4 linked regions of the Alligator mississippiensis genome follow. The main gene of each other region encodes a partner of the protein of the gene in region 2 in a complex. Links are inferred from orthologs where the notes say so. Each region holds a gene or a part of one and is shown on either strand. Other genes may lie near its edges. The genes, in order: SNRPG, E3 ubiquitin-protein ligase RNF113A, RBMX2 and RBM48.

Region 1 (7,204 bases), on a different chromosome or scaffold from region 2:
AACACACAGTGGCAGACAGTTGCATGGCTTTTTGGATGGAAATGTTAGCTTTGCAAATGAAGCACAAAATACCGCTGAAGTCATTGTAGCTTGAAAAAAAATTAAAAAGCTTCACTACACTGTAGAAGTAAAGAATCACCAATAACAGGAAGCATTTTGCCACCCTACAACTTCATGTACTGAAATGCAGCATCATTTTCAGAAAGGCAGCCAACATTAGCAAACTCTGAACTGCTAATTCAATCATGATACTCTTCAAAATGCAGGAATCAAGTCACCCCTTTTTCATGCTGACCAGATTTATGGCACCACTGCCTTTCATTCCTCCACTTAGATTAGGAACACTATGGAGAGAGACTGTCTTTTTATTCTGTATTTGCCTGTGTCTTTTACAGCAATGAGCAATACAGCAATAGGACCACATCCTCAAAGACCCTCACTTCTGTTAGCTCTCTCTCACAGCACAGTACATTCCCCTGCAACTCCCATGGGAAGACAGCACCCAGGGAAGGCTGCTGACTGGAACCAACATGCAAAGCATTGCTACACAGATGTCTAAAAAGCAGGACCTCAGAAGTGATAGAAATAACTCACATGACAGTTTTTTGTCCATGAACCTGCAATGAAAAAAAACAGAGAAGAAGCCGTCAGCCGTTATTCACAGATCTGGACTGAAAAAAATTACTCTAGATCAGGGGTGTCACCAACATGAGCTGCAGAGGAGCGAGCAGGGGCTGCACCAACACAGCCCAGCTGGTCCCTTGGCTGCTCACTCTGGAGCCTCCACTGGCCACTGCTTCTGCCCTCTGTACCCAGCCCAGGCAGAGCCTGGGCAGGGCCTGTGTATGCGGGTGGGTGGCGAGTGGCCGGAGCGTAAAGCCGGTGGTGTGTGGAGTGGTTGCACCCTCAGCATGTGGACAGAGCCGTTGACACAGGGCCCCCCAAAGCGTGGGGTCCGGGGCAGTTGCCCCAATTCACCCCTCCCCACAAGGGACATCTCTGAGCCCAAGACATGGGAAGAGCCCAATACCCTCTGCGCTAGACCAGGAGACACCCATGAGCTCACTCCATCCCCTTTGCCCTGGCTTGTAACCCTCCAGAGGGGCCACAATTTCTTCACACTGCCAAGAGGCCATTCCTAGTTTGGGGCACTGACCCAGGGCAGGCAACCGACCCCTGTTCCCTGCACAGTCTAGGTCAGGGATGGGCAAAGTCTGGCCCGCAGGCCAGATCCAGTCAGCAGCGAACTCCATTTCCCAGCACGGTTGGGGACGGTCTCCATGGAGACCAGCCACAGCCACACTGGCAGGGCTCCTGGCAAAGCAGGGCAGGGAGCTGTCCCACAGCCACTGGGATCTTCCCATAGTGGTAGCTTGCTCTGGAGACAGCGCAGAGCCACGATCCCTAGCCTGCACACCCCTGCCCAGAGTATGCAGGCTACAGATCGTGGCTCTGCCCTGGCTCCAGAGCAAGCTGCCCTTGCCGCACAATCCCAGGGGCTCTGGAACAGCCCCCTGCCCTGCTCTGACACTAGCCCGGGCCTGGTCTCCACGGCAACCCCAGCCTGGAGATTTCACAGCACAACCATAGCTGAGGTCTCCATGGAGACTGGCCCCAGCCATGCAGGCAGCAGCTGCTGGGAAATGGGAGTCCAGCTGCTGGCTGAATCAGCCATTTTGCCTCCCCTTGGTGTACCCCACTCCCCAGACAACATATTCCACCAGACACCCCCTCCCTCCCAGACATGCCCCTGCCACCAGTTACCCCCTCCCTCCACACCATGAACCCAGGAGGCTTGAAGCCCCAGCTGCCCTGCTGTTATCCCAACAGCTACTGGGGGCCTGGCTTCCCCTAGCAAAGGAAAGGTGAGGGGTGGAGGGAGAGCAGGACCCCAGTACATAGAGCCACATGGGAGGGGAACCACATGCTCAGCAGGGCTGGGGGACCATGTGGGGTGGGGAAGCCTTGGTGGGCAGGAGCCGCAGGCCAGAACAAGGTGCATGCCAGGATGCAGGGGGATGCAAGAATACGGAGTTCTCTTCCACCCCGCTCCCATCCTCCACTCACTTCTTGAGCTCAGGCGGGTGCGCTTTGCTCATGGTGCCTGCTCCCTCGGTGCCACCACAACTGCCTCACACTCAGAAATGGTTGCTCTACTGAAGGAAAAAAAAAACATAAAAAAACATTTACATTGTAAACTATATACTAATATAAAGCACTTTACGCTGCATTTCGAAACAGCAATCAGACAGGATCGAGTGAAAACTACAAAAGAGAAACAGCAAAAATGTATAAGCGCATAAGAAAACTGCATTTGTCCACTGTGAACCGTAGCTTGTCGTTAGCCACAGGAACGGTGTGCGTTCCTGCAAAATAACCACAGCTTTCTTGTTCGAGATGGAGTGAAAAAATATGACAGGCCCAGTAGCTAAACCTGACTTGGGGAATATCTCATTAATAGCCTGAGAAACACCATTTAAGTGTGCAAGTCAGCCAGCTATCAAGGTGTTCACCCATAGATGCTACCCCTGCCACACACACACACACACACACACTTCTGATAAGTCAGGAAGTCGCGCAGTGTAAGGTGAAAGCTTTGTAAGACAGGAACTGAAAACCGAGCTGTGACTTTCCCCTAAAGGCAAGCTGAAAAGCAAGGCATCTCGGCTGCTCCGCCATGTCCAGAGAAGGCCCATGGCTACATCGAGGCGTTACTTGGGACAACGCTGAAACCCCACGTGCCGGCCCCCGCCGGGAACAGCATACGCTGCCATTGCCAGTGCGGCCCCGGCCCGCGGGGAAGCGGCGGCGCCCGCAGCCGCATCCGCGCCCACGTACCGCCGGAGGCTGCAGCTGGTGCCTGAGCTCGGGTCCCGCCAGCGCCGCGTGAGGAGAGCCGGGATTTCGCGCCGAAAGGGCGAAGGGGAACGCACCTCACCGCCAATGGCGCCGCGCCGCGCTGCAGCCTGGGAGGACGGGGCGGGGATGCAAACCACACCCCTCCGCCGCCGGCCCCGCCCCGCCCCGCCCCGCCCCCCCGGCTGACCCGCGGCCAATATAGATATTACAGTGTTCAGCTCCTAACACAGAGAAGCGGGGGTGTAGGGTCGTTCAGGCAGGGACAAGCCTGGCCATGACTTATTTGTTTGTGGCACCCTTCACAGGATCTGGTGGCACCAGAGGGTGGCTCAGCGCCCCGGCTGAGAATTGCTAGTCTGATGCAATGGATTTTGTGAGAAAAGAGGTGTTTTGATTAAATGCCTCAAAGAACTTTGCTTCTTATCACGAAGTAAATCTGCCTCGCGCATGACACCCGCGCCAGCGGCCGATCGCGACGTTGGGTGGGAACTCTAGTGGAGCCAATAAGTACCAATCAGGCCTGTCAGGGTGGGCCACAACCCCCCTATAATCCCTTGAGTAGAGGCCGTGAGAACATTCAAAACTCAAAGCACGAGGTAGCTGCAATGCTGCTGAATGCACATCCTGACGGGGCGTGGTTTCATCGTTGGTCGGGTCGGAAGGGACCTGAGCAGATCATCAAGTCCGACCCCCTGCCGTGGCAGGAAAGAGCACTGGGGGCAAACGACCCTGGCAGGGTGTTCTCTTAAAGACCCCCAGAGTAGGAGCCAGCACCACTTCTCTTGGAAGTTGGTTCCAGGTCCTAGCCACCCTGACAGTGAAGTAGCGCCTCCTGATATCTAGTCTGAATCTACCCTCTGCCAGCTTGTGACCGTTATTTCTAGTCACTCCTGGGAGTGCTCGGGGGAACAGGGACTCCCCCAGTGCCTGCTGGTCTCCTCTGACTAGTTTGTAAACAGCCACCAGGTCCCCCCTCAGCCTTCTCTTGTGGAGGCTGAACAGGTTCAGGTCCCGTAGCCTCTCCTCGTAGAGCCTGCCCTGCTGCCCCCTGACCATGCAGGTGGCCTTCCTCTGGACCCTCTCCATATTGGCCACATCCCTTCTGAAGTGCGGCGCCCAGAACTGGATGCAGTACTCCAGCTGCAGCCTGACCAGTGCCGCACAGAGTGGGAGGATCGCCTCCCTGGACCTGCTTAAGGTTCATCTGTGGATGCATGACAAGGTGCGGTTGGCCTCCCTGACTGCGTCCCCACACTGTCAGCCCATGTTCATTTTAGCATCAATAATGACTCCAAGATCCTTTTCTGCCTCTGCACTGATGAGAAGGGAGTTCCCCAGCCTGTAGGTATGCTGCTGGTTCTTCCTCCCCAGGTGCAGCACCTTGCACTTGTCAGTGTTGAAACCCATCCTGTTCTCATCCGCCCACCCCTGCAACCTGTCTAGGTCCGATTGCAGCCTATTCCTCCCTTCTAGCGTGCCCACTTCTCCCAACATCTTAGTGTCGTCTGCAAATTTGAACAGGGTGCTTTTTACACCCGCGTCCAAGTCGCTGATGAAGATGTTGAATGGTGCGGGCCCGAGGACTGAGCCCTGGGGAACCCCACTGCCCACATCCCTCCAGATCAAATAAGACCCGTCCACCACCACTCTCTGGGTGCGACCCTCCAGCCAATTAGTGACCCATCTGACTCTGTAGGTATAGATGCCACAGTCTCCTAGTTTTTTAATGACAATGGGGTGAGAGGCGGTGTTGAAGGCCCTCCTAAAGTCCAGAAAGACTATGTCCACCGTGACACCTGCGTCTAAGGATTTTGTGACTTGGTCATAGAAGGCCACCAGGTTGGTCTGACAGCACCTGCCTCCAATAAACCCATGTTGGTTGCTCCTAAGCATAATCTCCTCTGCTGGCCCCTCGCAGACATGTGCCAGGATAATTCTCCCAAAAAGCTTACCCAGGACCGAAGTAAGACTAACTGGCCTATAGTTCCCTGGGTTCTCCTTCCTCCCATTTTTGAAAATGGGAACCACATTGGCCCTTTTCCAGTCCTCTGGCACCACACCAGAGCACCACGAGTGCTTGTAAAGCTGTGCCAGAGTCCTGCAATGACCTCTGCCAATTCCCTCAGCACTCTGGGGTGGAGATCATCAGGACCTGCTGATTTATAGTCCAATCCCTCCAGAAGTTCCCTGACTAGACCGGGGTGGGGAAAATACATGGAAAACTGGCTTTTCCCTCTCAGGCTGGCAGAGTTCCAGCCTGCTTGGGGTCCCTTGCCCCACACTGGGTCTAGGAGGCATTGGATCAGGACTAACCACTGATGTTTACAAATGAGTCTTGATACAAAAACGGTTGTGAACCACTGGGCTAGGCCTTGGAACATGCAGCCAGTCCCATCGCCCCTGGGTGCACACAAAAGCTGGGGCAGCGCAGTAGCCGGCCACCACTCAGGCAGGGCATGTGGCCATGCAGATGGGATGGGGCTGCAGGCAGGTGGGAAGCAGTGTCTGGGAACTGGATGGGTGGGTGGGACCAGGATCACAGGGTGGTGATAGTATAGGGCCTGGGGCAGAGCTGCAATGCACTCTCCATACTCCCCTGCCCACAGAACTGGCACCTGTCACAGGGAAGTGTGTGCAGCAGATTGCAGCTGTCCCAGACCCCAACCCTGCACTGTCATCACAAGATCCCAGCCCTGCCTGCCCATCCTGCTCCTGAATGCCGCTCCCTGCTCACCTGCAGCACCATCCCAGCCACCCAGCTGAGTGTGGAGCAGATCCACTTGGAGAGGTTTGATGTGCTGTGGTGTGGAGGGAGGTGGGGTGCGGGGTGCTTACCCAACCTACAACAGCTCACCAAAACTCCCTAAGTGGCCCTCAGACCCAAATAATTGCCCACCCCCAAGATAAACTCTTCTCAGTGGTGGCAGATGACAGAACAAGAAGCAATGGTCTCAAGTTGCAACAGGGAAGTTTAGGTTGGATACGAGTAAAAACATTTTCACTGGGAGGGTAGTAAAAGCACTAGAACAGGCTACTCAGACAGGTGGTAAGAATCTCCATCCTCAGAGGTTTTTAAGACCCTGGCAGACAAAGCCTTGGCTCGGATGACCTAGTCGGGGATGGTCCTGCTTTGAGCAGGGGGACGGACTAGATGATCTCCTGAGGTCCCTCCCAACCTGAATTTTCTGTGATTCATAACAAACATGAGGACTGATACCAATAACAGTTATGTTGCTCTTTGGTTCCAAAGCAGAATGTAAGAGTTGTTTTGAGTGTTCCCTGTGAAGCCCGTGGGCTCTAATACAGAATGAAGAAGTAATACCAGGAAGCCAACAAAATAAAATGGTCGTGTTGGAGCCCAGGAAACACAACAAGGATTTTTGTAGGTGATGTCCTTTATTGCAGAGGTTCCCAAGCCCCAGGCCCTGGCCTAGTACTGGGCCACAAAGGGTTGGCTGCCAGTCCGCATGAAGGTTGGCTGCTGGACCGAAAGTCCAGAAGTGACAAGCATACTGCAGACCAGCAGCCAACCCTTTTTTATACTTAGTGTAAAAAAGGGTGGGCTACCGGTCCACCGTATGCCAGTCACTTCCAGACTGCAGTATGCTGGTCCGTGGTCACTTCCGGTCCACAGTTTAAAAAGGTTGGGAACCACTGCTTTATTGGACCAACAGCATAGCTGGGACAGACAGCCTGAGATAATCTTTTGAATGTGGCATAAAGACTATCCCAACCATGCCCATTAGTCATATCAAAGACAGTGCCCACAAAAAGCCTCTCCCTCTCTAATAAAAGAAGACAAAAATCAAGTCCATCTCACAGCACGGCAGTGATCATCTTTTTTCAATAGCAGAGTTTCCTCAAAATTTATTTTTAATCATATTTTAGAAAACAAGTCAGTTTTGAAAAGGACAAGACGACAGTCGTGTTCAGCACAGGTAGTCACAGGATGGGACAAAATAAGTCAATAGAACAGCATCTCCCCTGACCAGATGCTCACAAGTACGCATCCAGTCAATAGATGCTCCTGTTTTGTCATCTTCATCTTTCTGTCTGCTGGTGATCATCTCTTTGCACCTGGCTTTCCTTCTTTGGTAAGATCCCCAAATTCAGAATTACCCACATAGCCCTGCATCAGAGGCAGCCGCTAATGCTGCTGTAAGCCTCCAAAGGCCACCAACCTGGTCCAGGGAATCAGACCCAGCTCCTCTGTGGTAGTCCTTGCCCTTCTTGCTCTGGGGGATCAGGATTCTGTGTTGAGCCTGACCGGCAGCATGTAAATGGCTTCCACTGCTGTGAATGCCCTGAATCTCCTGGCAACACTTCCGTTTTATCCTTGAGTAAT
Region 2 (6,865 bases):
CACAGCCCATCCTACCACCATATTCTGAAGCCAGCCTCAACACAGAAACAATAAGGACACTGAAGAGGCCCTTACAATCACCTCCTGGTGTTATTTAACCCAGATCGAATTGATCTATCTTTGTGTCATGTGGTACACTCAAGGCCAGGCAGTGAAACAAGATACAGCTGCTTGGATTTCCAACATCACAGGAAGTTATACATTTCATTACGCATTTGAGAAGAGTTGTGTCTAATGTAAGGACTTGTAACCTCTCCACCACCCTCTGTTTTCAGTTGCGTGATTAGGCCACTGGAGGATGCCTAGGTTCTGTTTCCCATTCTTCCACCAACTGGTTACACAATCCTCGGACAGTTACTTTGTCTCTCTGTGCCTCAGTTTCCCCATTAGTAGAGCAGGAATAAAATTACCATTCCCCCTTGTGAAGGGCTCAAACAGGAAGAGTTGCCTGGAGGGGCAAGGCACTAGCTTCCGACTCAGGTCACCTGGCTCCAAGCTCCTGGTTCATTGCCAACCTCCTGTGTGACCCTGGGCAAGTCACTCATCCTGGAAGGGCCTCAGCTTCCCTTGTGTAAATCCTGCCCTGCCTCACAGGACCATCGCAAGGATGACTCCATTAAAGGCTATCAGACACTCTGGCCCTGCAAGGCTGGGAAAGCTCTCGAAGAGGCGAACACACAAGAGAAGCACTCAACAGAGCCATAAAACCAGGGCATGGGACCAGGATAAAGCAACCAAAATTCCCATTCAGGGCAAGAGTGTCTCCAGTAGCTCTCCTGAGGATGCCCAGTTTTATACTCTGCCAGAGGGCAGACAAGGTGACCAGCTAGCTCCTTTGGGCTCTACTGAACCTACAGCCATGCCCCCTTCAAACGTAAGCACTGTACTCTCCTCACCGCTGATCGTGTTGATTTGTAAGCGACTCCGACACCTTGCGATGCCTCCTCATCGCTGCTGCTGTTCGACCCATATGAGGTCTTCTCCTTTACGCTTCTCTGGGTCTGCAGGGGGAGAGAAAAACACTGAAAATTTAATACTGGGAAATGGAACACAACACCCAGACACAAGAGGCCCTCCTCCCACGGGGGAGGCCATCCCTAATGAGCTGACTCCATGCTGGCTACAGACAGAACTATAGCCCAGGGAGGCAAATTAATGAAACTTTGGGCACTCAGGTCTCATCAGGATCAGGCTCTGCACAAATCACTAAACTATCACTAAACTGTGGAAAGGAAGCAAGTAGCACAACAGTGGGAAAGGGGAGCATTCTAGTTACAGATACCAGGATCACACCTCCACACCACATGCATACATGGGTCCTCTCTCTCAAGTGAAAGACCTTTGCATAATAGTATCTAGAACTCAGGCTCGCAACTCGTGGAGTACGCAGATACTGCAAATACAGCAGTTCAGGCTACAGTGCACCTGGTTTGGGGACAGGGAAGTGGGCACAGAGCAGTATGACATGTCTAATGGCGTCACTGTTTGGCCCAATATAAGGACACCCTTACATCTAAGACGAGCTGCTAGAAGGGTGGCCTCCTTGAGGACACAGAGACATGAGATGTAAAGCTGCAGTAGACCAACACTGCCTGAAAAATGACCCAGGCTCCTAAAGATGCCCAGGGCGATTCTGAACAAGAAAGGCCGAAACATGGAAGAAAAGGAGGAAAACCTTTGTGCAGCCCCCAGTGCCCTTCCTCGGCCGTAGGCCACCATCAGCTACTGGTGGTAGGAGGTAGTTCATAGACCAGCGAGCAAGGGGCAATGCAGTCACAGTGCCCGAACCCTCAACCCCGGCCCATCCCGCCTGTTCCATCACAGGAACAAATGACAGGTTTGCTTCAGATCCAAGGGGTGTGCTTGCCAAGCCAAAGGCTTGTGCGTCCCTCTGTTTACTTCCCACCCCAGCCAGTGCAGCGATCCAGGGGCTAACGTCACCCGCACACGTGAACCGAGTTCTGTCACGAGTGCAACTGTGGCATCTGCCCCGCGCCGGACTGGGACATTTGGGGTCACGTGAGACACCCAAGGCCTGCAGCTACTGTGTGTGGCTCCCCACCCGCGCAGCTGCACACCCCCCGCTGAGGCCTCTGCTCCCTCAGATGTCTGAGGACTAAAAGACAAGCCACGCGAGGGCAGGGAGCAGTGGCTGCAGACAGCCGCAGCGAGGGCCAGGGTGAGCCGGCTGATGTCAGCTCCCGCCTGTGCACGAGGGAAAAGCCCCCAAGTGCCGTGGTGCCCAGCTCTTCCCTGGGGCTTTTCACAGTCCTGGGTGGGGCTGGGCCAGCTGGCAAGATGCCCCGTGCCTGCACCGCGGCGCGGGCAGCCATTACCTTCTGGACCATGGGGTTGGGGGCATCCCGGCGCCGCTCCTTGCGCACCACTGCGCTGCCCTCATCGCTGCTGCTCCCTGTGGGCAAAGCGGCCATCAGGTGTCAAGCCAGCCCGAGCGGGCCGCCCTGCTGTCCCAGGCTCGGGGGGCATCATGGCCAGGCGCCACCACTCCCAGCCCTGCTGGAGTCCCCACCCCTGCGCTCAGTGGCTCAGTCCAGACCCCCCCCCCCCGCAGTGAGAATGGGATGTCCCAGAACCACCTGCCTTCAAGCGAGGACGGCCCCAGAGAGTATGGTACAGCCCAAAATCCCCTCCCCAGTGGCAGGGGCACAGCCCAGAACGCGCCACCGCTCGGTGGTGATGGTATGGTCCGCACCGCCAATGATAATGGCACAGCTTAGGAACCCCTCCTCCCCCCGCCTGCAGTGGGACAGTCCGAACGCCCTCCTCCCGGGGTGGGCCCGCAGCCAGAGCCCGGCGCTGGCAGTGGTACGGCCCGCCCCCCCTGGCGGAGTGGTGCCGGCCGCGGCCCCTCACCCGCCTCCTGGTCGCTGCCCGGCCGCTTGCGCCGGCCCCTGCCGGCTGCCGGCCCGCGCCGCCGGAACACGAAGCTGCAGACCGGAGCCTCGTCTGCCATCTTCCCGGCCGGGGCGAAGAGTGGGGCCGCCGGACAAGCGGGCGGAAGCGGCCGCCGCGGCAGCGCCCCCGCGCGGCGAGGAGGAGGGGCGGCCCGAGGCAGGGCGGGGCGGGGTGCGGGCGCCCCCTGGTGGGAGGAGGGGAGCCGGCGCCCGCCCGCAGGGTGCGGCCTGGTCCCGCGGGCAGGCCCCGCTGGGAGGCTGCGGGGAGACAGACGTCCAATTGCGGCCGGAGTCGGGGCTGCCCTCAGCGGGCCGTGGCACAGCGCTGTCCCCTGCAGCCCCGCAGGGTTTTCTTTTGATAAAGCGCTGTTGGAAATTTCTGTTTCCATCAACCCCACTGATTGCAGAGGATTTGGGGACTTAGCGCCCAGCTCTCAGCTGCCCAAGCACCTCTCCGCTCCAGTCACTTTCAGCCGCAGCTCCGAAATGTTCGTTAACCCTCTCACTTTAGTGCTGGAAACCCCCGAGGTGGGGAGAAGCGTCGGGGCCACATAAGGTGCCAGGAGCAGCCGGGAAATGGACATCGCAGCGATGGAGACTCGGGGACTCTTAGCAGCAGGGAGATCTCCCCGCAGCTGCATGCTTGTAAGGTGGCCCTCAGCTCAGGGTGTTTGTGGGGCTGGAGGAGGCAGGGAAGGCAGGCAGGTGCGTGAGTCAGGGGAAGCAGGGTGTATCCCCCTGCCCCTCCATTCCCTCAAGCTCGTCCAGGCTCTGCTGTTTCAGCCTGCACTAGTCGAGTCGGCCCCTTGCTCATCGCCATAGCAACAAGTAGCAGAGCTGAGTGTGTGTCTGGAGTGTAACTGGATGCTGTGAGGACTGCTGTGGAGGAATGGGTCATGCTGAGGCTAGGAGGGTGGGTCCCGTGCCCTGAATTGCCCAGGGGCATGGGACGTAATGCTGGGGCTGCCCTGCATCCCCTGTCTGGGAGAAGAGACTTTAAGGGGGCTGATTTGCCTGCACCTTGTGCTGTCATTTCCACCAATGCCGGAGGAGTGCAAAGCAGTTTGCACCCTGTCTTGCACAGATGGAAATGCTGACCCACAGTGAAGGGCAGCAGAGACCCTGGCTGAAGGACGCTGCTCCTGGACTCCCTGATCTGGCTCCTGCTGGATGACCATCAGCATCTGCTGCCACTAGCAGCAGGGGGTCTCTGAAAAGACCCACTGCATTTTTCTCATCGGGTTCCTTCTGCAAAACTCTCCCCTCACATGATGGTGGGGTGGGGAGAGGACATTGTCACACCCTGGGGAAGGTGTGTTGCTGCTTCTCATTTTTTGCACTGTCAGTGAGAGGGTGGAGGAGGTGTCTCCTTTCTCAACTCCCAATGTCACACACATCCTGGATGTCTTCATGGAACAGAGGCCAGGGATGGGAAGGGTGGCCAAGGGGCAAGGACGCAGCCCTGGCACTTTGGAGTGCTAGGTTTAATTCCCTCCACTGCCACAGGCTCCCAGTGTGACCTTGGGCAAGTCACTTAGCCTCTCTGTGCCTCAGTCTCCATTTTGAGAAATGGGGATATTATTACTGCCTTATCTCCCAGGGGATTGCATGCATAAGTGTGTTAGTGGTGTGCTCAAATGGAAGATTATAGGGCCAGATAAGCACCATGGATAGAGCCAGCCTCCTAATTTTGTAGCTGTTTTCTGTTTCTCCTGTAGGATTGTCCCTAACTGGTTATTATGACCTACCATCTGGGTGGTGGTCCAGTTGTACCTCTGCAGGTTACAGGACACCTCTTTGAAAGCCAGCATTGCAGTCCAACTTCCCATGACCTCAGCTGCTGGGCATTATTTTTTCTGTTCTGGATGCCGAGGCACATGTTGATTTTAACTCCTTCAGGTTAATTGCCTTTGACTCAGGATACTTAGATGTTGATATTTTCTTTTGATGTTCTGCCCATGAGTTTCTGAACTTATGCCCCAAAAAGCATTTTGAGGCATGTTGTGATATTAAAACAGTGTTAAGGACTGACCCACTCTATATCCACTGCTTTTTATTTTTAAGTCAAAAAGAAAATCCCAGCCCCATTAAAACAATGAAGGATCCAGGATGAAGCCAGGATGTCATCTCAAGTCCTTTGCTGTTTTTACCGACTTTCCTGCTGATCTATTTGGCTTTAAGCTCAGGCCTTGACATAATGTACTTGAACCAATACATCCCAGAGAATCCTTGAAATGACCCCTTGGGAATTCTAGGCCCTTTTCTTATCTCTTATGGGAAATCCCATAGTGAGCAAACCACAGTTTGTAATGTGTTATTGCTAGTTACTTGGTATGTTTTGCAACTGTTCAATTAAAAAAAATGAGTTGTCCACCAGCAAGAGGCTCAGAATGATACCTTTTTAAGTTTCTGGTAATTTTGCACCAGCCTTGCACCAGGGACTACCAAGAATCTTATCTGATTTCTGGGATTCTTTGCATCATGTGTTGTAGTTCTGTTGTAATCTTCACCTTCTCTCCCAGGGCCTTCTTGAGCTCTCTTCTCACACTTGTTACCACCTGCAAAGGCACTGTGTATTATGCAAAGCTCGCCTACTCTCTCACTTTCAGGTGGCTGTTACAGTGACACCTAGTTAACCAAGGCATTTGAGTCTGTATTTGCTTAGCTGTATCTAATTTTACAGTCCAAACACATTCAGCTTTTACTTCCCATCAGTGGTGATGTTCTTTACATGCCACATGTATCTTTGGCAATACAGTGGAAATCTAGGGACACAGTACATTGCTTTGGTATCCTAATCCAGGAAACACCTCCATAAATTCTTTGAGAATGCTTATTCATTTTGTTCTGTAGACATATCACTTACTCATTAGGTCTTCTGTAGTTGCAAGCCCTTCTGGCATCCTGCACCACATTTTCAAGCTGTTTTGAGTGGTGGCTGACTTCATGGGGAAGTATCAGTGTCTCCCTGCTACATTTGGTATCTTGTTTTAGGAAGGAAACTCAGCTTTTATCTTAATATGTTTGTTTGTTTGTGCTTTGGTGTGCTGATTGCTAATCACTTTATAAACACGAGCTGTGACTTGGCTGTACTCACCTCCAAAGTCTACTTTAAAATTCATGCTTTGTTCAGTTCTCTCCAGGGGAACTATGGGGGAATTTGCTTTGCAAATTTATGAAGGATCCCAGCGAGGAACTGTTTCTGTGGTGTCATTATTGCATTATGGTCCTAATGGGTTTTCCCCCTGCTCCTGAGCAATCTTTGGGATTTGGTCAGAGTCCCAATTTCCTCATCTAGCACCTGGCTTCTCCTTTGAATTATGGAGTTTCTTCCTCTCTTCCGTCATTTCAGCCAGCTTCCCTCATCTTCAGGTGGTTCCAGAAGGACCTGATTGCTATGAAACATACCCCTTTTATCCTCTCTCCTGCCCATGAATCCCTCTGAATTTTTAGATTCTAGCACCGCACTGGGTGGGTTTTTTGTCCAGTTTCTAGGGCAACTCAGTTCCTTCAGATTTCCACCCTTCTGCAGAGAAGTTGGAAGCAATGGACTTAGCTGAGATTACATTTCTTTTTTGGTTTTCCCAAGCAAGATCTATTAAGCTGCTCATAGTCTTTAAGGATCAAACTATTCATGAGTAGGCAGACAGGCACCTCTCCCTGTCATTGGAGCACAAGAACATGAGGTAGTGCAAAAGGAGAGAAGGTCATAATACAAAAGACCACAGGCTATGTAGAAATTCAAAATCATAAGCTGCATATGGATCCCCAAATTGTCGCAGTTATTTCAGCTCCTCAAGAGCTGAGGAAGCACAGGAGAGAGGGATCCTGTCCCCCTCCCCTTTCTGCTGACTGGGAGGGGAGCTGTGTTAGACACCTTCTCAGAGCCTGAGGAAGGGAGCATCTCTCTTGCCCCCTGAGGAGAAGGGGTTCCTTGGGGACAATGCTTT
Region 3 (7,938 bases), on a different chromosome or scaffold from region 2:
CCCCACCTATGTAACTTGGTTCCTGAATGAATGGGGATGAATGAGGGTGCTTGAGAAACAATGGCAGTGGGTCTAAAAATAGCTCCCCCTGAATGACTGAACCATCAACACCAATACCTGGACCAAGGACCCAGCCCTTGGAACCACCCTCAGCATTCAAGAAACAAAAGATGAGGCAACCCACCATTGTGCCAGGCTGCACATGCTCAGTAAGAACACCTGGAGCCCTCTGGAACAGGACTGGCATTGCCTGGACAGGCCCTCCCACAGGAGATCAGAAGTAGTCTGCCCCATAAAAAGGGGCAGTGAAGACTGACTCCTTGGGACGCCCTCTCCATTTGAACCAGCACCATGCCACTCACCCTGCCGGCAACCCCCCTCTGGACAACACCTACTGGACAAAGACCCCTTTCCAGCCTGGATAGGTAGCTATCATGCCCACCCTCTCTTCAACCAAGGACTTGGACCCTGCTTTTCTTCCCCACCTGGACTCCAAACCTTCCACTGAGTTTCTTGTGTGTGAACCAATAACTTCATGGGGCTGTGTAGTGTGTTGTCTGTTTAATAAACCTGTTATTTGGACCCCTGAGTTGGGTTTTGCTTTACTGTGGTTTGGCCCTGCTCCAATCTCTGCTCCTCACCCCTCTAACTTCTCTCATTTCTCCCTCTCCTGCTTCTGGCTCACTGCCACCTCCAACACCTGTCCTGAGCTCCTCTCTGCCTCCAAACCCCCTGTTTCTTTGCCACTGTCTTATCTCCACTGTCTTTTCCTTTTCCCCTGAGCAACCAGGTTTCTGCCTCAGTTTCTTTCCTGGCTGTCTCCTCCTTGCCACCACTTATCTCCCCCCCCCCACAATATCTCAGGTGTCTGCCTCAGTTTCCAGCCCCAGTCTACCTTAAGTAAACCCAAGCCTCAGTTCCTCAGCCAGCTTCTCTATAGTCCACTGGTTATAATCCTGGTTCTGGCAACTTTCACTCCCTACACTTTAATTCTCTCTCTCTCTCTCACCTGAACCTTCCCCCAAGTATCCCAGGTACCCCAAGCACACACATATACACTGTACCATCCAAATTAGGAACTTACCTGTATGTGTAGGTGGGTTGTATGTGTATGAACTGGCGAGTGTGTGTGTGTGTATATATGTCATTGTGTGCATGATATACAAATTAGTGATCTGTGTCTAACTTTTGGGGTGTATAGTATATGTACTTGGTGATAGGTATGCATGTGCCTAGGCTGGTTTGGATGTGTATGTGCCTGAGCTGGTAGTGTGCGTGTATGTACACACCTAATTGATTTGTGTGTTTGTACATGTGCAATTGTGTCACACCCTCCTGTCTAACAGCGCAATATTGAGATCCTGAGAGTTGGCCTGACCCCACAAGGCAACAGGGTCATAGGAAGCTTGCTTCTGGTGATGAGGATGGCAAGGTTTGGTGCTTGTTTAAAGGATAGGATGGGTGGTTATGAGATCTTTTTGAGAATTAGGTCTCCTTCTAGTATGGGTTGCAATTGTTTGAGAATTTTCTGTATAGGTTCGGAATTCATTCCCCCTTCCCCTCCGCCCCATTTGTCTCACCTGCTGACCAACTCAATTTATATTTTAACTCACTGGTTTTCTGAGATAAATACTGACCTCTGGCTGCTTTACCACTCCATCCAGGAAGAGCACAAACCATCTGCAGATGCTTCCTCAGCCTGGTGAAGGGGTTTGTGCCGGAAAGCTTGCTAAGAAGAATTTTTCCAGCTATGTGAGTTGGTGTAATAAAAGATATTGGATTTACCTTTACCCAAAGAACCTTGTCTGCCAACAGCGTCGTCCTTAGGGGCGGGGTCAAATCAGGGTGACCGCCCCAGAGCCCACGCTTTGGGGGGCCCTGGAGTCAGTGCCGCACAGGCCCCTCCGCGGCCGCCATGCAGCTGAGCACCCCTGGCTCTGCTGCCACCGCCTCCAGCTGCTCACCAGCCCCCCACCCGCCCAGGCTGATATGCTCTGGGCCTCACACACCACTAGGAACAGCTCTGTCTGCCCATGTCCTTAGAATAACACAGCTACAATCTACACCCCAGAAACAATAGCATGGGAACCTTGTGTACGTGGCAACAGATAGATCAGGGAGGGGAAAGGCAACACAGAGGCAAATAGCTGCTCCGCTTTCTGCTCCCTGTGCTAATTGGTTCAGAGAGGCACAAATTTTCACAGGCAACCACCTGCTTTGTCAGATGCTAGGAATGGGTTGGCAGAAAAAGTTTATACTGAAAAGAAATGGAAAAGAACAGCGGGAGGGGACACTGGTGAGGGAGGAAATATGAGGACTGGATGAATTACGATTGGGGAGACAGACAAGCTAGTTAGGGTGCTGGGGCTGTAGCTGCTTAAGGGACTTGTATACCCAGAGCCTGGTGCACTGAGGTCGACTCTGCTGTGCAGAAGCCAGGAGACTGCTCCCCTCTGAAGGGCGGAGGCCGCAGGTGAGCAACAGCGCCAGGTGGAGCCCGAGGGGGATGGACACCGGGAGCGGCCCGCAGGCACTGGGAACCTCGGGCAGTCCCCTCTTCCCGGAAGCAGCCCTCGGCCGCCCGGCCCGGCCCGGCCCCCCGCTCGCATCACGCACGTTCGTACCGACGAAGACCCAGGCGCTGTCCTTGTATTCCGCATGCCACGACACCGCCTCGCGCACGCCCAGCGCCGCCTCCCGCTCGTTCAGCTCGTTGATCAGCTTCACCTTGGTCAGGGCGCTGCGGCAGGGTGAGCGGCTCCATGTCAGGGCCCCGCATCCCGCCGCGCCCGCCCTCACCACGGAACCCTGCGGCGCCCGGCCCCGGCCCCGGCCCCTACCGCTACCCCGCCCGGCAACCACCCCAGCGCCGCCGCCGCAGCCATTACTTACTTCATGTCGATTGCTGCTGGTCACTGCGTCTGCGCCGACGTGCGTGCACATGCGCTGCACTGCTCACGCCTTGGGCTCCCTCCCGCGAGGGCTGCCTGGCCCGAGCTCTCGCGCAGCGCGGGCGGCCCCGCGGGACGGTCTCGCGTCTCGGGCGCTGGCGCCGCTGTGGCCAGACGATGGCTGCAAAACACGCCCTGGCCACCCCGCAGCGGGGCTGAGCCGCGGCCCAGGCGGCCGGGGTTAGAGACTGCCGAGGCGGGGCCGTTCCCGCCGCGCCGGACCGGGCAGCATCTGCGCCGGGCGGAGAGAAGCCGCCGCGCTGGAGCGCAGCGCCCGGCGCCGGCCGGCCGGGCCGAGGCGGGGCGCCAGGCCCCGAGGGCAGAAGCAGCGGAAGAGTCGTGAGGGGCTCGGTTTTGCGCTGACAGCGCCACACGCCACGGCCTCAAAGACACGGGGCGAGCGGGAGGGGAAGGGCGGGTTGAAGCTGTGCTTCTGAGCCCGTGCTTGCCTCTTGGGAGGAGACTGACAAGCCATAGTCTGTTTCTCAGACCCCGAGCCAGTGCTTCATACAAGACTCTGAGGCAGGGGTGGGCAAAATGCAGCCCGCCAGACCATTCTATCCGGCCCGCGGGGACCCTAAAAAAATGTAGAAAATTAATATTTATCTGCCCCGGCTACCTGTCATGTGGCCCTTGATGGCTTGCCAAAACTCAGTAAACCAAAACTGCCTGAAATAATTGCCCACTGCTGTCTAGGGTCATGTCCAGGTGAGCACATACGTGCCTGTTGAGGCGCCTCAAGGCAGTGTGAGATGCTGCGAGAGGAATGCTGGGATCAAAAAATGTTCCCCATACTGCATCTTTTCAGCACAGGCCCTAAATGTGATTCCTGGAATCCAGGGATCAAAAAAAAAAAAAAAAAAAAGGGGGGGGGGGAACAGGAGCAGGCTCTGACATCTAGCCAGAGTGTCTCTATGGCTGCCCCCTTCCCTTCAGCATGGTGGGGCAAATAGGAGCAGGGCAAGGCTGCAGTATGACCCAGATGCCATCCTAGGTAAGTAGTGATGTGGGGTGGGATGGGGAAGGTGTGGGGAGATTGGTGGTGGGGGAGGTAACTATGTGGGCCTGTTCCCACAGGGCACACAGCCATTGAGTGCTCAGGGCCTGCTGCTAGCAGAGCCCTCGGGTGCAGCACAGCCCTGGCCCCTTCAGACCCAGCGCTGCCTGTGCTGCACGTGCCTTCGGGCAGCATCAAGCCACTCTGTCTTTCACCTGGGGTCCCAGCACTGCATACAGGGGCTGGGCCAGGTCCCGTCTCCATGGAGCCAACCCAGCCTGACAGGGCACGGGGTACTTGGAGGCAGGGCCCGGCCCAGCCCAGCACAATGTACGGCCCCTGCATGCAGTGCCAGGACCCCAGGTGACAGCCAGAGCAGCCTGGTGCTGCCCAAAGGTGCACAGCACTGGGCTGGGCCTGAGTGCCCGATGGCTGCTGCAGGTTGGGACTGTGCACCCTGCAGTAAGTGGGCAGGGGACTCACCCCTCCCAAGCAGTGCCTCCCACCCCCACAAAGTCTCCCCACAAACTCCTCACCCACATACCCCAAACTCCTACACAAGCCCCATATCCATCCACAACCCCTTCCCCCCCCCCCCCCCAACAAATCTCACACCCTGTACACCCAGCCGGCCACAGAGGATGGGACAGAATCCACTGGCAGGAGCCATGGCTGCAGGGGCAACTACCACACTGCAGCCTTGCCTCGTGCCCACACCAGTGATAGGACATGTGGCCCCAGTAACTACTTAGGAGGTGTGATGGGCTGTGGGGGAAGGGGTGGAGGTGGCAGCATGGGTGTATATGAGAGAGATATATATGGGGGTCAGGGGTGAGGGAGCACTCTGGGTAGGAGAGGCCACCAGAGCTAGGCTTAGCACCCCCCTGCCCTCCTAGATCACCCTGTGCAGGGGGAGGCCAGCCTGGAAGGGAAGGGCCTTGACTAGCCCAGTCCCCGAGCCCCAGTTGAGGGATTCCCAGGAATGGCATGGGGAAGCTAGTGGGGGCAAGCAGGGACTGCAGATCAAGGAAGTGATGGGACTGTGGGGTAGGGGGCTGTGGATTAAGAGCGAGGGGCAAGGGCAGGGTCAGGGCACTGGCATATCAGTGCTGCTCAGTGCCCCACATCTTGGTGAATGCAGGGGGCAGAGGCAGCTCTGATTTTTCTACATTAAAAAAACCCAAAAGCAAATGCCAAAGTTTATAGATATTTAGAATTTCAATTATAATGATAGCGGCACTGGTAGGCTTCCAAATTGCTTTATAATTGTAAATATATCAATAAAATATTGCTCAACTAATCTCTCTATACATATTAGCATTTCATTTCAGTTGTGAAGAACACAGAATTTGGGTATTTTAATGAGAGAATTTGGGGGGGTTTAATCAGAGAATTTGCCATTTTTAAACTGGGAACAGGATTTCTGCAGGTAAGACAAGTGGCGAGACCCAGGCAGAGGAGCCTGCCCAGGGTCAGCACCAGGGACACAGCTGGAGGGCAGACGAGGTGGGTGACCTGGTCATTTGGAGCCAGGAGTGCATGCTTTGACAGTTCAAAGTGGGCCACTGCAAGGAGTACATCTGGGTGATAGCTGCCCAGGTGATAGAGCAGGAACACCAGAAGACATGATCACAGTTGGCCTGCAGGTGGCACTGCTCAGACAGCCCACTGGCAGCTGGCCCAGAAGCGCAGGAGGCTCTGCTGCGGTGCCCATACCACAGACCAGGTGGCCATGCAGTCCCCCTCTTGGTCTGGCAGGCATGCAGCCATGGGGCAGAATGCTGTCACAAGTGGCAGCAGGTCTCAGTCCCCATTGCCTGACTGCTGCAGTGGGTAGAGAGAGTGCAGGGGCCACTCTAGGTTAGGGCTGCTTCATCAGTCCAGGTGGCACAAGGGGCTAGTGTCCCCAGATACCAACTGGCTGGGTCTCAGATGCTCCCGTCTATTTGTATCTTCCAGAGATCATGGGCCTTAGGGCCCATCTAGTTAACTAATTGGCCCCACACAGTAGTGGGGGCTAAGTTTGAAAGATGCAACTGATTTTTTTTTTTTTTTTTTGGTGGGACAACCAAGGAAGAAAAGGGTAGGAGTGACGTGGGGGGGTCATAGGTTTAAAATGTGAAAAGTTCTCCGGAGGAGAACACTGAGCAGAGCCCCCCAGGCCACGCTCACTGGTCTTCAAAGGCATCCAAGGAGCCGCTGGACGCTGCCCACTGGTGCTCTGCCTGGAAACATGCACAGACAAGTGACAGAAAAGCAGCCCTGCAATCTCCAGGCACCTTGCCAGCCAGAGCTTCCTTCCTGGTCAAAAACAGGGCCCACTTGGCCAGGGTCAGGAGGAGGTTGCCCAGGAGATCCCAGGACTTGGTGAGGCCACAGATGGAGTGACCAAAAACAAAAAGGTGGGGGGTGAAATTTAACCAGAACCTCAAGAGGAGGTTCTGGAGGTGGAGGGGCTGCAGCCTTGCGCATTCAAGGGTCATGTGCACCAGGGTCTCCCTCTGCCTGCAGAAGAGGCAGGAGATGGGTGTCTGTGAAGCTCACTACATACACGCCTGTGGCAACAGCTCCATGGAGGAGCTGCCAGCTGGGGTCCTCGGTGGCTCGTGGGATGAGGGTGGAGTACAGACACCCCAGCCACGCCCTCGCCGAGCAGGTCCCACCACTTGGTGTGAGGGCAGCATGATGGACAGTGTGGTGCCCAAGAGTATAGAGGTGGACAGTGGAAAAGCGGACCAATTTGGTGTCCTCCAGCTCAGGTGGTGGAGTGGGGAGCCACTTGGGACCTGATTGACAAAGGCAAGGGTATCAGGAGGTAGGGCAGATTTCACCTGGACCAGATGGCAGGTTGTACATGTTGTGGGTAGATCCATGCCCTGGGCCAGCACAGCAGGGTCCACCCACTCCCACCTATTTTAGTCCAGGAGGTCTCCAATATGGGTGACACCAACCAGGATCAACCTCCGTCACAACTAGGGCACCTCTGCTGTTGGCACCTCCAGCTGAGCCCCTCCTCTGGAAGCCCCAACAAGCAGGTTGGCACCCTAGGTGACTTGCGGGGGACCTGGAGGCGGAGACCAGCCTCCAGGCCTGGAGGTCATGGTAGAAATCTGGTAGTCCTCGCAGGTTCTGCAGGGAGAAGCCCTGCTCACTGAGGAGCTGCCAGTCTTAACAGAGCCCCTGGAAGTGGCAGAGAAAAGCACGCCCCAGGTGGCCCCATGCCACATGGCTACCAACACTGTACAGCAATCACTGCCAGGCCTGAAGATGGAACTCCAGGCCCTGGCCAGGACCTCTGCAGTGACCCAGTTCCGTCCCAGCCAGAAGAACTCAAGCACCCATCTCTGGAGTCCCACCAGGACCTCAGCAGGCACAGGCAGGGTGTGTAAGCAGTGCCAGAGCATTGACAGGACCAGCTGGTTCAGCACCAGCACTCTCCCACACAAGGAGAGACATCTCAGGTGCCTTGCCCATTCCCAGAGCTGCTCCACCACCCTTGTCTCCAGCTGGTGCCAGTTCTCCGGCAGGGAGGGGTCTGTGGGGGACAGGTAGACCCTCAAATAGAGTAGCAAGCCTGTGCTCCAGCCAATCCTGCGGAGCTCAGGTGGGAGTGAGTCCACCTGCCACCCATCACCCACCATCAGGCCAAAGCTCTTGACCCAGTTGACCTGGGCAGTAGAGGCCGTTGAGTACAATACCTAGCAGGCCTCCACCTGTGCCAGGTCACTTGTACTCATGGTCCAGGACTCATCACCAGCATGCGCTGACACAGGACCAGCTGGTTCCCAAAGCATCAACCCCAGCACCTGCTTCCGCAGGAGAAAGAGGAAGGGCTCCAGGGCTAAGGTGTACAGCTAGCCTGACAGGGGACAGCCTTGATGCACCCCTCTCCTGAATGGGATGGGCTCCTTCAGGGTCTAGTTGAGCTTGACCAGACACTCTCCAGAGGTGTACAGCACCTGGAGAGCCTGCACAAAGCGGGGCCTGAAG
Region 4 (7,659 bases), on a different chromosome or scaffold from region 2:
AAATTGACAATTTTTTTAGAGGTGCACTGATAAAGATTTTGGGGGCTGATACCTATAGCCAATTTTTAAGGAGGTATGTCAGCCGATACCGATCCGATTTCCGATACAGCTGCATCCAGATGGGGAGGGGACAGGCGGAAGGGGCATGTGGGGGCAGATCAATGCCCCCCCGCGGTGAGGGAGGAAGTGGGGCTGGGGTACGTACTGCCCAGCCAGGGTAGGGTGGGCACAGGACGGAGCTGCAGCTTGTCAGGGGGCGGAGGGGGGTTGGGGAAGGGGAGCAGCTCAGGCTGCAGCTGTGGGCTGAGGCCTGCACCAGGCTCCTCCTGGTGGGTGGGGGGTTGGGTCACACTGTGCTTGAGGCAGGTTGCGGCACTGGCAGGGGGCTCCAGCCACCCCAAATTTCTCTGTAGCCCCCATACCCCTCCCTCCCAGCGCCGCCACTGCATATCCACCGAGTGCAGCCCAGCCCAGCCCTCCCTGCGGCCCATGGCCCTAGCCTGCAACTGCAGCCTGCTTTGTTCCACCCTGATACAGGGGGCACACGTCCCGCCCGCCATGCCCTCCACCACAATAGACTTACCAGCTGCACACAGCTCTCCAAGCTGTCGGGCTGTGCTCCTCACTGCCTGCATGCTGTGCTGCAGCTGCACGCACACATGGGCATTTGTCAACCAGCAGAAGCGGCAGCGGAGCCGTATGCCACTCAGGACTGACAGGTGCAGGCAGGGGGAAATGCAGCTGAGCCCCTGCCACTCCAGCCAAGCTCGTCCCATCCCGAGTGGCACATGGCTCTGCTGCCGCTTCTGCTGGCTGGTGCAGACCCGGCCGGGCTCCTCCCATCCCCAGCAGCACATGGGAACCTGGCTTCAGCCGCATGCTGCTCCAGGTGGGATGGACCCAGCCACCGGCCAGAAAAAGCAGCATGCAGCTGAAGCTAGCTTCCCACATGCTACTGGGGATGGGAGGAGCCCGGCTGGGACAGCACCGGCCAGCAGAAACGGCGGCAGAGCCGTGTGTCGCTCAGGACGGGACGAGCCCGGCTGGAGCAACAGGGGTTCAGATGCATTTCCCCCCTGCCTGCGCCTGCCAGTCCCGAGCGGCACACAGCTCCGCAGCCACTTCTGCTGGCTGGTGCCAACCCGGCCGGGCTCCTCCCATCCCCAGTGGCACATGGGAAGCCAGCTTCAGCTGCGTGCTGCTCCAGATGGGACAGACCCGCCTGGGTCAGCACCAACCAGCAGAAGTGGCGGCGGAGCCATGTGCCACTCCAGACTGACCAGCGCAGGTAGGGGGAAAGTGCAGCTGAGCCCCTGCTCCTCTGGCTGGGCTCATCCTGAGGTTCATTTCATGTTTGTAAAATGCTTGGAGAGCCCCACATAGACGCACTGCATAGAAGTGAAAAATAAATTTTAACTTATTTGGTTGGCACCTTGGGCTGAGATTTTCAAAGCTGAGTCAAAAGGCCAACTTCCATTAAAATTAATGGGATTTAGAGGGCTCCAAATCTTTTATGACAACTTTGTAACATGCCTATCTACCCCTTTTTGCAAATCTCAGCCATAGTTTGGAAACTCAGCCAAAGAACATAAGAGCTTCTGAACATAAGAGCATAAAAAGCACCATGCGTGGTCAGCCCCATGGTCCATCTAGCTCAATATCCTGCCCCAAACAGTGGCAGAGGTGGATGCTATAGAGGGAGAGTTTTGAACTGGTTATTTAAACCTATTTCATTGTCACTTCCTGCAACTTCATTGGTGTCAAAGGTCACGTGATATCACTTCCTGATGTGATACCACTTCCTGTGAGGTCTTTGAATATGGCTTGCCAGCCCACTGGGTGATAAAAAGTTTGTGATCCGGCCCCACATTCAAAAAGGTTGGACCACCCCTGTTTTATATTGTACAAAGGTTGACAACCTATAGTCCACAAACCAGATTCAGCCTGCAAGATTTTATCTGGCCTGCCAAAAACCAGCTGCCTGCTCATTGCTCGCCTCCTTTCCCTCCCCCTGGGCTCCCACACAGCAGATCTCTGCAGACCCTCTGATCCCACATTTCCCAAGGAGGAATGAGCCAAGCACACAGAAAACTCACGCCAGCTGCTTCTGCAACATGTAGCCAAGGGGCAGGCATCTCCTAGAAGCCCTGGCAGGCAGCCTGCCCGCAAACAGCTTAGGCAGTAGCATGCCATGCAGCACATGCCATGTCTTGGGCAAGTTGAGGTAACTGTCCTGACTCCAGTGGGCAATGGCTGGTCAAATTAAGGAGTTATGACTCCCTGGCTGCATTCATTTGTGTTGCTGTCAGCAAAAGGCTACCAATTCCTGGTAGAGCTCACTGCAACCCTAAGAAGTCACTGTTCTGGCCAATTAAAGTGGTGTTGACAAAGAAAGAGTCCCAAATCTTTCTTGTAATAGGGCTGGAGTTTTGTTGCAGCCATGACAGTCCAGGAAAGGTGTGAAAAGTAACATGGGTTTTCGGTTGACATCTTCTATCGGACTAACCATATAGCTGGAAATGTCAGAGGCTTTCCTACACAGAGACTTCTGGATCACCTGAAGGGTGCGCCATGCCCAAAAGTTCATCTAACACCTGCCAGCCATACAGTGAGTGCAATAAGAGAGCACCAGGCCGGAAACTGGGGGGGGGGGAAGGGTGGCGCGAATCCACCCGCGTCCTCTCCCTTCCCAGCCCGTCGCCGCCGCTGCCCGAAGGGCGGCGCTATGGGGCGTTGCGCATGCGCAACCCAGGTTGACCCGCGCACCGCCGCTCCCACCTTCACGGCGCGCGGCCGGCGGCCCTCGCGGTACTTGGCGCGCGAGGCGCAGACGTCCCGCTGAGCGTGATGCCCGCACGCGCCCCCGACCTCGGCGCCCGTCGCCGCCGCCATCTTCCGCCTCTACCCTCCCCTCCTGCGCCGGGCGGCTTGCCAACAGCAGCCAATCAGGGAAGGGTGGAGCTATTGATTTCCCTTCATTGGCTCTGGGGGGAATCGTCATCAGGCCGGAGGAGACCTGCCGCATCACCGGACTGGAGTGAGAGCCAATGAAAGAGAGGGAGCGAGTGGGAGGCGCAACCCCATTGGCCTGCGATGGGCCGTACCAATGTGTGCGGGCGGGGAGGGGTGCGGCTTGCTAGAGACCTGGACTTCGTCGTCTACCAGCGGACGGGGGAGCTGCGCGTAGCGTCAACCCCGAGAGTTCGGTCCGGCCCGGCCCGGCCCAGGCCGCCTGCAGCGGAGCGGGGCCGCCAGCATGTGGGGCAGCGGCGGCCCCGGCGGCGCAGCGGTGACCGTCGCCGTGTGCGGCAGCCGGGACTGCTTCCTGCACCTGCCCGCGGCGTTGGCCGCCCGCCTCCGCCTGCAGCAGGTACGGGTCGGCTCAATCCGCGGCCTGCGGGGGCGGACCTCGGCAGGGATTGTGGGATACGCGCAGTCCGCCCCAGCTGCCATGGTGACAGCAGCGCTCCCTCACCTCGTGACGTCACTGCCCGCCGGGCTCCCGCGGGTGTGGGGCACGGGCACCAGCCCCGCCGCAGGATCTGGCCCCGCAGCCTCCGCCCAGCCCCCGGGGGCGGGAGGTCGTGGCCGGGGGGACGAGGATTATTATAGTTGTACGATACTTTCGTCCCTTGTAGGATGTGAGATGGGTAATAGTCCAAGTGCTCAACATGTACGATCAGTTTTGAACTGCAGAACTCGAGAACTCTTGGTTCCGAGGTGATACCTCAACCATTCTCTTGCGATTTCTTAGTTGTTCTAATAAAAGGTGTCATCTCTGAACCGAGTTCTCGAGTTTTGCATTTCTTTTTGTCTCAGACCAGCATAGCTACCTGATACATCCCTGATCACTTTTGAGACAGTTGATGCAGCATATGCCAAGCCCAGGCCCCTCTCAGAGAGTCTTATCTAGGATTACCATATTTCCTGTTTCAAAAAAGAGGATGCCTGTCGGGGGGGCAGTGATATGCCTGTGCCCTGGTTCTGCCCCTCACTCACAACCCACAGTCCCCCTCCCTCAGACCATGTTGCTGTTCCTCAGTCCCAACCCACAGCTCCCCCCACCCTGTCCCGGCTGATGCCCCTCACTCCTGACTCGCAGTCCCCTGGCACTGTCTGTTCCCTGCAGTCCTGACCCACAGTCCCTTGTTCTCCCCCCCACCATGTCCCTCACTCCCAGCCTGCAGCCCCCTATCCCCCGCCCTGCTGGGATCCTCTCACTTTCAACCTGCAGCCCCCTTACCCCCCACCCCTCCAGCCCTACCACTTTCCCTCACTCCAGACCCACAGCACCCTGGCTGGCCCCATAGCTCCCTGCTGCCCCTTCCCCTCTCCCTTCCACTGCTGGAGCAGCAGGCATCTCCCCTGTCCTTTGCAGCCCAGTGCCAGGGACAGCTTCAGTGCTGAACAGAGCAAAATCCCAAATCCCAGACATTGTTGATATTTAGAAAAACCATCTAGACAGAGATGGGAGGACTCAAAAAGAGGACATGTCCAGAAAAAAACAGATGTATGGTAACTCTAGTCTTAACTGACTTTTGGGTTTGCTGTCAGCAATTTCTTATGGCAGCTTGCCTTGAAATAAAGAAAGGCTTCAACTTTGATGACCCAGTTGTCACTCACTGGTGATTTACAGTGAGCAATATAAAGTAAATACAAAGAAGACTTGTTTGCATATTTTTTCAGTGTACGTTAGTTTTTTTCAGCAAATATGATAATTTTTGAGCTTCCAATACAGTAATTTTGTATCTAAAGACAATGTTGCCAAGCACTGCTGCTATAGGTAGAGACTTGTACCTGAAGAGAGTCCAGTTCAGTGTAGGATGTAGCCCCTTCCCCTCCCTGTAGAATACAAGAAGGTTGCAGGGAAAATGCAGCATACACTGTCAAGGTCTGGACAAACCCTTTGTGTCACCCACAGATATTAATAATAGGAAAACATTTCAAGGAAAAGATGCGATTCAATTTCCTCACAAGATTAAAGGGACGAGGAGACTCATTCAAGAGTCGATTATATATAAAAAAAAAAAAAAAAAAAAAAGTGTGTGCACTTTTGCTAGAAAGCAGCATCAGTAACCTTGAAATAAATCTTCTTAACATTTTCCTGTTTTCAGCAAAATTCCCCAAGTCCAGAAGAAAACAGTCATGGGAATGGAACCGGTCCATTTCAATCCAAATGTTTTTTCACACTGCTAAGTAAAAGGAGTGGGAGGGGATGAGGGCTGTGTTGTAGAGCTGTGTATTACAGGAACTCTAACTGCTGGCTTTGTCCTTTCTAAACTGAACCAAGCCAGCTGGTACGAGTTCAGAAAACTTTCTATGAAAATAGCAGGAGGAAATGGTGGGGGGTTTGGTTTTTTTGCTTTTTTCTAAGTCCCGCAATTCCAACCTGAATGGAGTTGACCATTTTGGTCACTTGCTTTCTCAGCCAGCCAGCAAATTGTGTGTAGGAAAGCATAACAGAGGAGATGCAAAATGAAACCTTGTTGGACAAAATGCATCATGTTTTTCATCATTTAAAGTGGAATCTATCAGACACAGGATAAATAAAACAAAAAAAATCTATCTGACAATAAAGTGAATGTAGGAGGTTGATTTAAAAAAAAAAAAACTAGGCTTCATTTTTCAGTTAAGCCATCTGATATGGGCCAGGATTACTACTTTCGATTAATTTTTTTGTCCCAAGGAACTGTACGTATATTTCTATTTAATGCAGTTAATGGACCAAATAAGTTCACCGGGACAAATGATAAGTATACAGTACACACCCACGCGCACACACCCGTAAAACAAAGTCTAAACAGACAGATTTTTAGACAAAGAATTTGAAGAAAGAAATAAAGTTAAAAGGTTGTTAGGAAGAAGGAATATACAAGAGACATTGTGGAATGTTTGGGTGGTACAGAACTCATTTCCTGATATGTTCTAAACATTGTTCTGTGAGTAAAGATGGGCTAAGAGGATATGTTTGAGGGAAGATTGAGAGGCTGTGTGACATGCAGGAAGGATCATGTTGGACAGTCCAAGGAATAGAAAGCATAGGAATTGGTATGGGGGCATGCTTGTGGGAGTAAAAGAAAAACTGGAGTTGAGAGGCAGGATTGACAGAGCCACAAGGCAGTCATAAAGAAGATGTAACAGTGGCACTTTAGATCAATTTTTATTGGCTACACATTGTTGTACTTTTCTCTCTTCCTTTTCAGATAGTTGCTGCCTCTTCTGTGTTTTACTTGGGCCTTTCCTAGTTTTTAGCATCAGTAGCTTGATAACCCTTTACAAATGTTTCATTTATTTAGACTGAAGCCTGCCTCTGGATGTGCAGTAGTATGTAGCTGCTTAAGTTAGTCTTAAAACTGTGTCTTTGAGTTCCATGATATCTTTAAAGATATTGTGCCTCCAAGGAAAATGAGTGGCTGTGGAATGGTTGGCTGGACTGTAGTATGGCAGAGGATATGAAGGTTACAGTAAACCGGAAGCTGAATACAAGCCAAAAGCGTGCTCTTGTTGCCAAAAAAACCTAAAAGCATACTGGGTTGTGTTAACAGGAGTGTCACTTGCAAACCAAGGGAAGTGGTTTTTATGCTGTAATTAGCACTGGTGAGGCCTCACCTGGAATACTGCATCCTGTTCTGAGCTCTGCACTTCAAGAAGGACATGGACAGATTGGAAAGAGTCTGGTAGAGAGCACCAAAAATTATTAGCCGTCTGGGAAGTAAGACTTACAAAGAAAGGCTGACAGGGCCAGAGGTATTTAGTCTGGAGAAGAGAAGACTGAGAGCGGGATTTAATAACAGTCTTCAAATACCAGTTTGAAAGTACTTGTGCTGTCCTAAAGAGCTATTATAGAGGGTAGAGATGGGCTTTTCTCTGTGACTGTAGGGGACAGAACTAGGAGCAATGGATTCAGACCTCACCAGGTGAGATTTAGGAACTTTTTGACTATGAGGGTGGTCAAGCATTGGAACAGGCTACCTAGAAAAATTGTGGAACCTCTATCCTTGGGAAGTTTTCAAAAGTCAATTAGACCAACACTTGGCTGGGCTGCTTTAGTCAGGGAAGATCCCACCTTGAGCACAGGGCTGAGGGAAGAGACTTTGTGAGGCCCCTTCTAGCACTACTTTCCTATGATACCTCCATTCCCATAAATGTAGGTTTCACATTTTTCTTTACATTATTTCTTCTAATCACATGTGGTTGCTCTTTGGAATTATGATAGCCGTCAATTTATGACAGCCTTCAAATTTCCTCATGTGAATACCCTTACTGAACCTAATGGAAAATTTGTCACAGACACCAAGTTTATCGTTATTCAAGAACACTTTGATGTACATGTTTAAGTCTCATTGATCCCCAATAGTAGGGCAAGACTGAAGGACATGCCTATGTTCTTTTCTTAATTGAAGCCAGATATTTCATGGACATGCTTAATTCATTCTGTCTCATTTTCGGTTGATATATAATATTAAAAGATCAGTGTTTTGAAAACACCACTAGAAATTAAGATTAAATGAATAGAAATGAAGAAATAAAAACATTTTTAAAACTGTAAGAAAAAGAATTTTGAGAGAGCCTCTTGACTCAAGAATCTTGGTAACTTTTACCAAAAGGAACGTTTTCTGAAGTCTACTGAAAATGGCTTAAACTCCCTTTGCTGAATCA

What was found.
Region 1: E3 ubiquitin-protein ligase RNF113A (region 2) and SNRPG share a complex: the UniProt entries of both Homo sapiens proteins name them as parts of the minor spliceosome. The link is inferred for Alligator mississippiensis from reciprocal best matches to the Homo sapiens genes RNF113A and SNRPG.
Region 3: E3 ubiquitin-protein ligase RNF113A (region 2) and RBMX2 share a complex: the UniProt entries of both Homo sapiens proteins name them as parts of the minor spliceosome. The link is inferred for Alligator mississippiensis from reciprocal best matches to the Homo sapiens genes RNF113A and RBMX2.
Region 4: E3 ubiquitin-protein ligase RNF113A (region 2) and RBM48 share a complex: the UniProt entries of both Homo sapiens proteins name them as parts of the minor spliceosome. The link is inferred for Alligator mississippiensis from reciprocal best matches to the Homo sapiens genes RNF113A and RBM48.

The regions. Positions count from the first base shown.
Region 1 is NC_081830.1:13,249,203-13,256,406, reverse strand, and holds the start of SNRPG (small nuclear ribonucleoprotein G), read right to left. Parts: upstream 3,012-7,204; 5' UTR 2,934-3,011; intron 2,928-2,933; exon of another isoform or gene 2,839-2,927; intron 2,157-2,838; 5' UTR 2,100-2,156; coding exon 2,068-2,099; intron 618-2,067; coding exon 595-617; intron 1-594. UniProt on the Homo sapiens protein: Plays a role in pre-mRNA splicing as a core component of the spliceosomal U1, U2, U4 and U5 small nuclear ribonucleoproteins (snRNPs), the building blocks of the spliceosome.
Region 2 is NC_081827.1:158,642,902-158,649,766, reverse strand, and holds the start of E3 ubiquitin-protein ligase RNF113A, read right to left. Parts: upstream 3,004-6,865; 5' UTR 2,975-3,003; coding exon 2,875-2,974; intron 2,414-2,874; coding exon 2,337-2,413; intron 1,002-2,336; coding exon 897-1,001; intron 1-896. Other genes in the region: LIMD2 (LIM domain-containing protein 2), read left to right, coding at 3,492-3,560. UniProt on the Homo sapiens protein: Required for pre-mRNA splicing as component of the spliceosome. As a component of the minor spliceosome, involved in the splicing of U12-type introns in pre-mRNAs. E3 ubiquitin-protein ligase that catalyzes the transfer of ubiquitin onto target proteins.
Region 3 is NC_081831.1:40,215,122-40,223,059, reverse strand, and holds the start of RBMX2 (RNA-binding motif protein, X-linked 2), read right to left. Parts: upstream 3,006-7,938; 5' UTR 2,944-3,005; coding exon 2,893-2,943; intron 2,741-2,892; coding exon 2,617-2,740; intron 1-2,616. UniProt on the Homo sapiens protein: Involved in pre-mRNA splicing as component of the activated spliceosome. As a component of the minor spliceosome, involved in the splicing of U12-type introns in pre-mRNAs.
Region 4 is NC_081828.1:175,536,481-175,544,139, forward strand, and holds the start of RBM48 (RNA-binding protein 48), read right to left. Parts: upstream 3,008-7,659; 5' UTR 2,893-3,007; coding exon 2,779-2,892; intron 364-2,778; exon of another isoform or gene 1-363. Other genes in the region: peroxisomal ATPase PEX1, read left to right, coding at 3,257-3,370. UniProt on the Homo sapiens protein: As a component of the minor spliceosome, involved in the splicing of U12-type introns in pre-mRNAs.